2 linked regions of the Rattus norvegicus genome follow. Each later gene encodes a partner of the first gene's protein in a complex. Links are inferred from orthologs where the notes say so. Each region holds a gene or a part of one and is shown on either strand. Other genes may lie near its edges. The genes, in order: Fn1 and Col1a1.

Region 1 (4,325 bases):
CAAAAGCTCATCTGGCTCATAGCTGAGGATGATAGTTGATCAATCATCTCGCTTAAAGATGACCAAGTAATTTAAAATAGGTACATCCCTTGTGCATATCTTATTGAAAAGAACCAAGAGATCTTCCACTGGCACATCACACACACACACACACACACACCTACACACCTACACACACACACACACCTAAACACACACCTAAACACACACATACACGCGCACACACACACACACACACAGAGGAGCAGGAGTTCCATCTCTGTTTAGATCCATCATTCAGAAGTACAAGAGCTAGCTGAGTGACCACATGGGGTTTGGTCACAAGGATAACAGATGGAGGCAGGGACAGGACAGAGAAAGCGACGTGTATATGTGACCTCCATCATCATATCACCCAAGGCCTTTCTTACTTGCAATGGTACAGCTGATCCTGCCTCGCCCAGCCCCAATGCAGGTACAGTCCCAGATCATGGAATCTTTAGGGCGCTCATAAGTGTCACCCACTTTGTAAGTGTTTCCAGTGTATTTGTCAAAACAGGTCTCTTCAGCTGTGGAAAGGAAAAAAAAAAAGTCCCGTGTGAGTTTCACATACATACACCGCTACATTGAAACTAAAGTGAGACAAATTTCAAGTTAGGCTTTAACAGAACCAGAGCTCTTGACCTTCGGCAAGCTCTCCACTGCTCTCTTATTTATAATGTAAAGAATTCTCAGGAAAAAGCCACACCCTGAGACCAGCTGAGTTGCAAAGGAAAGATTTGGAATTCCAGTCTCAAGCCAGGGAAATCAATTCAAGGGTCACAGGGACACAGTTTGAAGGTTGCCTTCTTCCCAGCAGGCGTTGGCTTTTGTCAGCCCTACTGAAATATTTCCCCTGTATCCTCCCTCAGCAGCCGCTCGGAAGGGCCTGCTGTAATTCACAAGAAGCAGATGAAGGGGCTTCGAAGACTCAGAAACTGCAGCTAACAAATCACTTTACAACTCAGTGCTTCAAAGCAGTTTCTGGTCCATAATCGGGAGCCAGAGATCTGAGATAACTTTCTAATAAATTAAGCCTTTACAAGCAAACTTTTATAAGTTTTCTTTTTGAAGGGAGACATGCAAAACCTTTCATTTTCCAATCAAAAGAATAAAAATGAAGGCTTTGGAAACTAATTTGGATTGCATTTGTTTTAGAGCACGTGAAAAGCCAGGAGAAGAAGTTTTACTAAGAGAGAATTACAAGTGATTCTTAGCAGGGTGGAGGAAAGAGCAAATGTGTTTTTATTTAAAGCATCATTTCTGCCAGGGACCAGACTGCCTTCCACTTACGTTCAGGCTTGCTCTCGCAGTTAAAACCTCTGCTTCCTCCATAGCAGGTACAAACCAGGGCGTTGCCTAGGTAGGTCCGTTCCCACTGCTGATTTATCTGATAATGCTTCCCGTTGTCAAAACAGCCAGCTGTGAAGAATTGAGGGGAAAGTTATGACAGCTTCATCCCTCCTCCCCTTTTTCCCCTACAAAGTTACTGAATTTTGCCAACTGACTTGGTGAGCCTGAACAAACACAAAAACTCTTAAAAAGCAATATTTCCCTAAAATTTTGATGTGGGAGCTAGCTAGTCAAAGATTTAAGCATTGTCTATGCAGATGGACGTTTAGGGTTTTTTTTTTTTTTTCTTATCTTTTAACATGGTTAAAAGTTATACAATGACGTCATGTCCATCTGGTCAGGGGAACTACATCAGCAGAATGGAAACATTCTGAGAGGCAAAAAAGTAGAAAATACTTTTAAATCATGAAAGGCTTCAATCTTAACAGCAACAACATCAAATAAGACAAGAAAGGAAACTTTTAAGTTGGGTGTCCTGGTGACTATGCCAGTAAACCCCAGCTCTGTAGAAGCTGAGGCAAGAGAATTGCTCCAAGTTGAACACAAGCCTGGAGAACATCAGGCTAGCTTTGGCTACAGTGTGAGATCATCTCCAAAAGAAAAAGAGAGAAAAAAAAAAAAAAAGGAGGGAGAACTTTTAAAGGAAGAGTGGGTCTCTGAAAATCTGGAAGAGAAACGCATATCCCTGCTCTTAATGAAGAATCCTTTTGGGGGAGCCCTGAGGTATCCCCCAAAGCACTGAGCTAACAACATCTCTTTCCAGTTGGTAAGAAACTACCTATTTAGATACTTTTCTTCCTCCCCATTTATTAAATATTTAACCAACTATTTACTAATAAGGAAAATAAGGATCGGGGAACTACACTAATCTCAGATGTAAAATTTTTAAGTTCATGTTTCTTTTCTCTTTCACAAGTTTGGGTTCCCGGAAGGGCGAACTGAAGGTGTGGAATTTGTTAGCGCACTTGACGGGAAGGACAGATGGTCCCTGCCTCCACTGTACCCGCAACCAGCCTGCTCAAACATAAGCCCTTTTGTGTCCACAGCTGGTTTCCTTCAATAAAGCGCGCACTCACATACGTTCGCACAGCCACGCACGCGCGCAAAACTTTAGCCACAACTTCTGCGGGAGCCGAGGACCAACCCATCCCTGGTGCCGGCCGGTTTCAGCCAGACTGTCGGTACTCACGCTTGCTCTGACTGACAGCCACCGGGGACGGAGGCTGCACGATTTGCTGAGCCTGCCTCTTGCTCTTCCCGGTTTCGGTGCAGCGCACCGATGTCCCCAGGCACAGGACTGCTAGCAGCAGCAGCCGCCCGGGTCCCGGACCCCTGAGCATCTTGAGTGGATGGGAGGAGAGTCGCCCTCTCCAGGAGGCTAGTGGCCACGAAGTGTGGTTCCCCTCGCAGCCTGCAGGAAAAGTCCTGAGGTGGGGACGCCTGTAAGAAGATGGAAGGAGGACACGGGAGAGGACCAGAAGTTGTGGCCGCTGGCCCGGCTCACACCCTGGGCTCCTTTTCTTCCCCTGTGCAGTGCAGCGGGTGCGAGCGGCTGAGCCCCAAGAGCAGAGGCTTATATGGGACAGTCCCTTCCCGCCCCCCCACGAGGCCCTGCGCGCCGGGGAGGAGGGTCCCGTCCGACTCCCCCCGCCCCTCCTGCCGCCGCAGCCGCGGCCGACCGCGCGCCGATTGGCCCGGAGTCCGGGTGACGTCACGGGGTACGGTGGGTTCGCCCCGAACAAAAGAGATGCTGATCTCCCGCCAGGTCTGGGACTGGAGAACTTCCCCCCCCCCTTTGGTTTCCTTTGCGGTCGTCAAACTTTTGGGAGGAGGATTGGGGGTAGGGATGGGAAACGGCTGTAAAGTGAAGTAGACTCGGAGGAAAGGGAGGGAGGGGCTGGAGCCGACTGAAGCCTGGGGGTAGGGGACAGGTTTACCCCCTCGTCTCTTTCCTTTTTTTTTTTTTTTTTAAATTGGTGACCGTGGTGGTGTTTGAGAACATTGCGTCACCTCTGAGAAAAGTCTGTGCTCACCGGGGTGTATTTTGTGGGAAGGGAAAAAGTCGTTAAGTGGCCACTACCTTGTCCCTGTAGGAATCCAGACTTCACTTTTGCAGCCCCGGGGCAGGGCGGCTCTTCCTGGTGCTTTTCCTGGGTCCCGGGCGCCGCCTATTCGGTGTTAGGTAGGCTTAGACCCCGGTTTCTCCATGCAGTACCTGCTTGGTTTCGAGGGAGAGCCCCGGAGAGGGTGAGCGCGTGTCAAAGGTGACCCCTTCCCTGAGCTTCTACAGCCCGGGGTTGTGCACGGCGCCCTGAAGATTCCGGGCAAACTCACAAGACCAAGTCTCTCTGCAAAGATGAAGCAACAGAAAGTTTCCTTTCTAAGTCATGAAACAAAGTTTTCCTTTCCTGGGATTGGGGTGCCCGTTTCTTTTAGAAGGCCTGTGGTGAACAGCTTGAGAGGGGGGAAATTTGAACTGGCTGATGAAGTTGGGGAGAGCGGGTAGCTTTAGGTCCACGCCACGTTCACTGGGCCATTTGCACTCAAAGCAGAGACCTAGGTGGCCTCTGAAAGAGAGCTGGGGTGGGGATGGGTACAAAGACTATGTCTTGCCTTCCTCCAGCCTTCCCCGGAATTCCCTTGCATGTATCTGGGCGTTTATTTTTTTTCAGATTTCACAGTCATGGCAGAATTCCACTATCCACCCCCTCCCTCGCCGCCAGATTTTTTAGATTTCAATTGTTATCTGCTCCAAGAATGTATAAAGTTCCACTGAAAAGTCTCCGGAAATTCTCCGGACTTTCTACACTACTGAGATTGGAGCGGGGATAGGAGACGTCCCCCTGAAGCTCACAGCTCTAACACGTTGGTCTTTTTTTTTTTTTTTCTTTTTTTTTTTTTCTTTTTTTTTTACCTTTCAGACACACACAGCCCAGTTGCTGTGCTTCAAAATG
Region 2 (4,568 bases), on another chromosome or scaffold:
GGACTGTCCATCAGGCAATAGCGTTAGATCAACATTAAATGTGGTGCTATGGTCCCATAGGAGGATGCACTTGCTCTTAGGAAATGTGCTTCAGAGCATAAGGCATGGGCATGTTCTTGCTCATGTCACCAGAGGCAGACCTCTGGGAACATTTTTTTTTCTATTCTTTTTTTTTTTTTCCGGAGCTGGGGACCGAACCCAGGGCCTTGCGCTTGCTAGGCAAGCGCTCTACCACTGAGCCAAATCCCCAACCCCCTTTGGGCATGTTCTTGACGATATGTCTCAAATGGTTGGGAATACACAGAGACAGAGAGAGCTGTGTGTCCAGAAAGTGAAAAAGCAGGTGTTTTGAAGGGTGAACAGAAGTTCTGTGTACCATTGCAACTTTCCTGTAAGTTTATGATTACTTAAAGATACAAAGTTGTGTCTGACAAAACCAAAGCAAAGAAAAACAAACAGGCAAATGAACAAAAACAAAACAAAACGGGGAGTCACATAAGTCTGGGGTCTCCCAGATCTACTTACTCCTCCAAGACCAGGGGGTCCGGGGGGGCCGGGGGGACCAGGAGGACCAGGAAGTCCAGGCTGTCCAGGGATGCCATCTTGTCCAGGGGGGCCAACAGGTCCCTGCACCAAGAAATGGAGGGGGCTGTTATGAACCCAAATCAGAGCCACACCCCCTCCAGGTTCCCAGCTCACTTAAAATAAGATGCTCTTACCCGTGGGCCTTGGGGGCCAGGGTCTCCCTTGGGTCCCTGTGGGGTTGAGGGTGAAGAAACAAGAGGCCGGTTAGAGAACGAAAAAAAAGTTGGAGTTTATTGGAGGACAGTGGGAGTCATGGACGGGTGGGCAAAAGTAGGGGGCAGACTATTACCTCGACTCCTATGACTTCTGCGTCTGGTGATACTGGGGAGAAAAATGTGCAGTTAGAAGTAAATTTGCTAAGGTACCTGGGGTGTTATAGGTTTTCAAGACACAGGGAAAGGAGGGACTCCGACCTCCCTTAATCCTAGGACTAGAACCGTACCATATTCTTCTGGGCAGAAAGGACAGCACTCGCCCTCCCGTTTTTGGGGGTTGGGACAGTCCAAGTCTTCTTTGCATAGCACGCCATCGCACACAGCCGTGCCATTGTGGCAGATACAGATCAAGCATACATCAGGTTTCCACGTCTCACCATTAGGGACCCTTAGGCCATTGTGTATGCAGCTGACTTCAGGGACTGAGCAAATGGGAAGAGACACAGGACATGAGCGGCTCTGAAACCTTACCTGATGCACCAGGGATCCCAGCCTTACTCACCCTTTCCCCTGTCTAAGAGGTGCACGTAGATTTTCCACTTCCCACATCTTTCCCCCAACCCCTATTTTCTTCCCTTAAATCCTTAAATGCAGGTCTGCTCTGTAACGGCGTTCAGTGACAGCACCAAGAAGCCTGGCCAGGGCTGTAACTTCCAAGTTCCCAGGAATTTAAACAAAGCTTTAGGCTGGGGTTGCTTCCAAACTCAACTTCAGCCCACGCGCGCGGGAACCAAATGAAATAGAAGTCCTCCTGACGGAGAGTAGGAGGGCTCCTACAAAGTAGGTGGAGGTTTGTGGGACGTGGTTTGCGGGGAGACCGGAGGCGGGGGTGGGAGGAGAGAAGGGAAATTCCAGCCCTGGTCCCACCTCCTTTCCTTGGGCAGGTGGGACGGAATGGGCGGGGCTAAAATGGAGGAGGGTGACTTCCGTGGAGCCTTGTCCAGAGTAGTAAAATATATCCCTAAAGTTAGATACACCCTAACTCTCCGCTCCCAGGAATCAAAGCTTTCCCGGTCCTTCCTTCAAAGCCAGTAGAGCTTTGGGGTCACTCCTTAGCCAAAGAAAGAACTCAAGTCTACAAATAGCAATGATTAGTTAACCACGCCCACCTCTCTAGCACCGGATCAAAGCAACCACTAGGTGGCGGGCAACGCTAAGCAATGCACGGGGCGGACCCAATTTTACTGGCCTGGGTCACTTTCAAAGACCAAGGCTATCATATCCATCTGTGCTTTTATTTTCCTAGTCTGGAGATGAGGGTCCAGGCCCGGCAATAGCCCAGGTTTTCCCTCTTAAGCCCGCGCGCTGTAAAGTACTGTACCAGGACTCGTAGTGCTCAAGGTTGACCAGCAGGAGGCACAGGGACCGCGCCCAGTCAAGTCTTAGCCAAACTTTCTCATCCAGCAACCCGCCCTCTCCGTGCGTCCCTTCCTCCCCCCACCCCACTCCCAGAGCCCAGCACCCCGGAGGCCCCAGCAACACTGTCTAGCCTGCAGAGAGGGCAAACAATCTTTCCTTATGAATCATCCCGCAGCCTTTTTGATTGCTTTTACATCTTGAGCTTCGAATCTCTATTCCAGAGGTCTTATTTGATCTTCGACGTACTCTGACCCAACCCCTGCCCAGATTCCCACTTTTCCCGTCGCGCTACAGATAGATGCTTGAAATTTCCTGCCGTGCCATCTCAACCAGGGCTCCACTTCTGAGATCTGCTCACTCTCCTCTGCTCGCGAGGGTGACCTCTCTCTTCCCAGTTCCTCTCCATCACCTTCTCATCCCTCCTAACTCTGGAGCACCCCGCGCTTCCGTTTAAGTCTTTATTGCTAGGACCCCTATGCAGAACGCGATAGCAAGAAACCATAACCTCCCCAGAGTTTGGAACTTACTGTCTTCTTGGCCATGCGTCAGGAGGGCAGTGGCCCCTAAGAGGAGCAGGAGCCGGAGGTCCACAAAGCTGAACATGTCTAGACCCTAGACATGTAGACTCTTTGCGGCTGGGGTGGGGGGTTAGCTTCGGCTCATGCGTGGCCTCACTCCGTGTGCCTCCTGCTCCGTCCGGAGGTGAAACTCCCGTCTGCTCCGACGACTGGCCTGGGCCCCTTTTATACCATCCTGATGGAGGAGGGCTGGGAGGAACCCTGCCTCTTGGAGAGGGGGAGCCAGCAGCCCGGCCCCCAGCCAATCAGAACTGCCTGGCCCGGCCCCCAATTTGGAACGAAGAGGGGGGAGGAGGGAAAGGAAGGGAAAGGAGTCCACCCAGCCCCCTCCCCCCTTTGCAATTCTGCCACCCTTGTCCCCCAGATCTACATGGGCCAGAGGTGCTATCACTGAGTGTGGCTGGGCCCTCGATATACTGATTGTGGGTAGGGGATGCCCCTTGCACTTTCCTTCTGGGACCTCAAATCAGAAGGATGTAGAATTGGGAATCTGAGTTGGGGAACATTACAAAGGGTTCAGTGTCAGGCACAATTGGGAAAAGGTCCTCTTGGCCATGTCTCATAGTCTTTCTGGCATCCTTGGGAAGACCTAAGGAAGAATAAGTTAGGCAAGCATCTCTCCAAATCCGAAGAACCAGGCAGCTAAGCAGATGTGACTGTTAGAGGGAGGAGAATACCTCATGGTGTGGGCCCAGGTATGCAGGGTAGGACTATTTGGGAACAAATTAGACATCTCTTCACAGATACTAAGAGTCAGATATGTGGTTGTTTGAAAGGAGTGGGGTGGCTATCTGTTCTGCCATGAATGTGGCTCCATGAAAGACCCACCTTTCTCCAGCCCCAGGTGTAACAGAGGGAGACATCTCTGAGGATTAGGCTTGGGGAGAAGTTTGACATCCTTGTCCTTCCAGAAGAAACCTTCTGCGTTATGATGGGCAGCCGTGTGGGCAGGGGGGTTTCTGAGTCCTTAAAGCTGTGGCCTGGGTCTTCTTGTATAAACTCTTTCCTGACCACCTCCATCCCAGGGCTGGAATTTGCTACAGGAGGCCTGTGACCAGGGATGTCTTAGAAAAAGGTCTTGTGTCAGCTGTGGCTACAGCCAGGAATTGGTTAGAGGCCCTCTTAGGTAGCAGTATCAATCCAGAAAGAGCAGGTAGAAGGCATTGGCCATAGAGCCGTGTTCTCTCTGTAGAGAACCTGCTTTCCTTACTGTACTTGGATCTGGTCTGGGGACACCTAGGTGAACTCGGTGTGTGGCAGAAACTTGTTTTTGGTAGCTGAGTGACTTTATTTGAAGGCTACTCCTCATGTCCTCGCTTCTTTGCTGAAAATCTCAGCCATTGTTCCCCACCTCTGCAATCAGGAAAGGGTCATTTGTCGTCCCCCAAGAAAAGTGGCTTATATTTAAATGTGTCCCTAAAAGACAGTGTCCTTTCTTTCCCTGGGCTCCCATCAACCCTGCAAAGGTGCTCTGCCTGACCCCCACTCTACTTAGGAACTTCATTTTGTTAAACTGTGTGGGTGGCAGGGAAGCATAGGGGTCTCCTCTCAGGGCCCATAGACGTCCTGTATCACTTCCCCCACAGCCGTCTTCAGAGCTGTAAACGTGGAAGCAAGGAGTCCCGCCTCCTCCAAACCATCCAAGATTCCATTGCTCCCCCCCCCTTCACGCCCTCCCTGAGCTAGTTTTGTGCAACGAAGGCAAAGAAAAAAAAATAAAAAAGACCAAGGGAGCAGAAGGGGAGGGAGCCACGTCGCTGGCCGTGGGCAGTTAGGCTAAGCGGTGCGGGTGGGGTGGCAGAGGGAGACTGCAGAGGCTATAATTAAAGGG

The links.
Region 2: the proteins of Fn1 (region 1) and Col1a1 are in contact, whole or in part, in a crystal structure (PDB 3GXE), measured with the Homo sapiens proteins. The link is inferred for Rattus norvegicus from reciprocal best matches to the Homo sapiens genes FN1 and COL1A1. Residues at the interface, in NP_997647.2 of Homo sapiens: Asp516, Gln517, Lys533, His535, Glu537, His539, Leu541, Gly549, Arg550, Gly551, Arg552, Trp553, Lys554, Cys555, Pro557, Gln560, Phe569; in NP_000079.2 of Homo sapiens: Leu261, Pro262, Gly263, Met264, Lys265, Gly266, His267, Arg268.

What each region holds. Positions count from the first base shown.
Region 1 is NC_086027.1:80,711,218-80,715,542, forward strand, and holds the start of Fn1 (fibronectin precursor), read right to left. Parts: upstream 2,921-4,325; 5' UTR 2,712-2,920; coding exon 2,561-2,711; intron 1,441-2,560; coding exon 1,312-1,440; intron 549-1,311; coding exon 411-548; intron 1-410. UniProt on the Homo sapiens protein: Fibronectins bind cell surfaces and various compounds including collagen, fibrin, heparin, DNA, and actin. Fibronectins are involved in cell adhesion, cell motility, opsonization, wound healing, and maintenance of cell shape.
Region 2 is NC_086028.1:80,378,763-80,383,330, reverse strand, and holds the start of Col1a1 (collagen alpha-1(I) chain precursor), read right to left. Parts: upstream 2,874-4,568; 5' UTR 2,763-2,873; coding exon 2,687-2,762; intron 1,223-2,686; coding exon 1,028-1,222; intron 907-1,027; coding exon 875-906; intron 756-874; coding exon 720-755; intron 628-719; coding exon 526-627; intron 1-525. UniProt on the Homo sapiens protein: Type I collagen is a member of group I collagen (fibrillar forming collagen).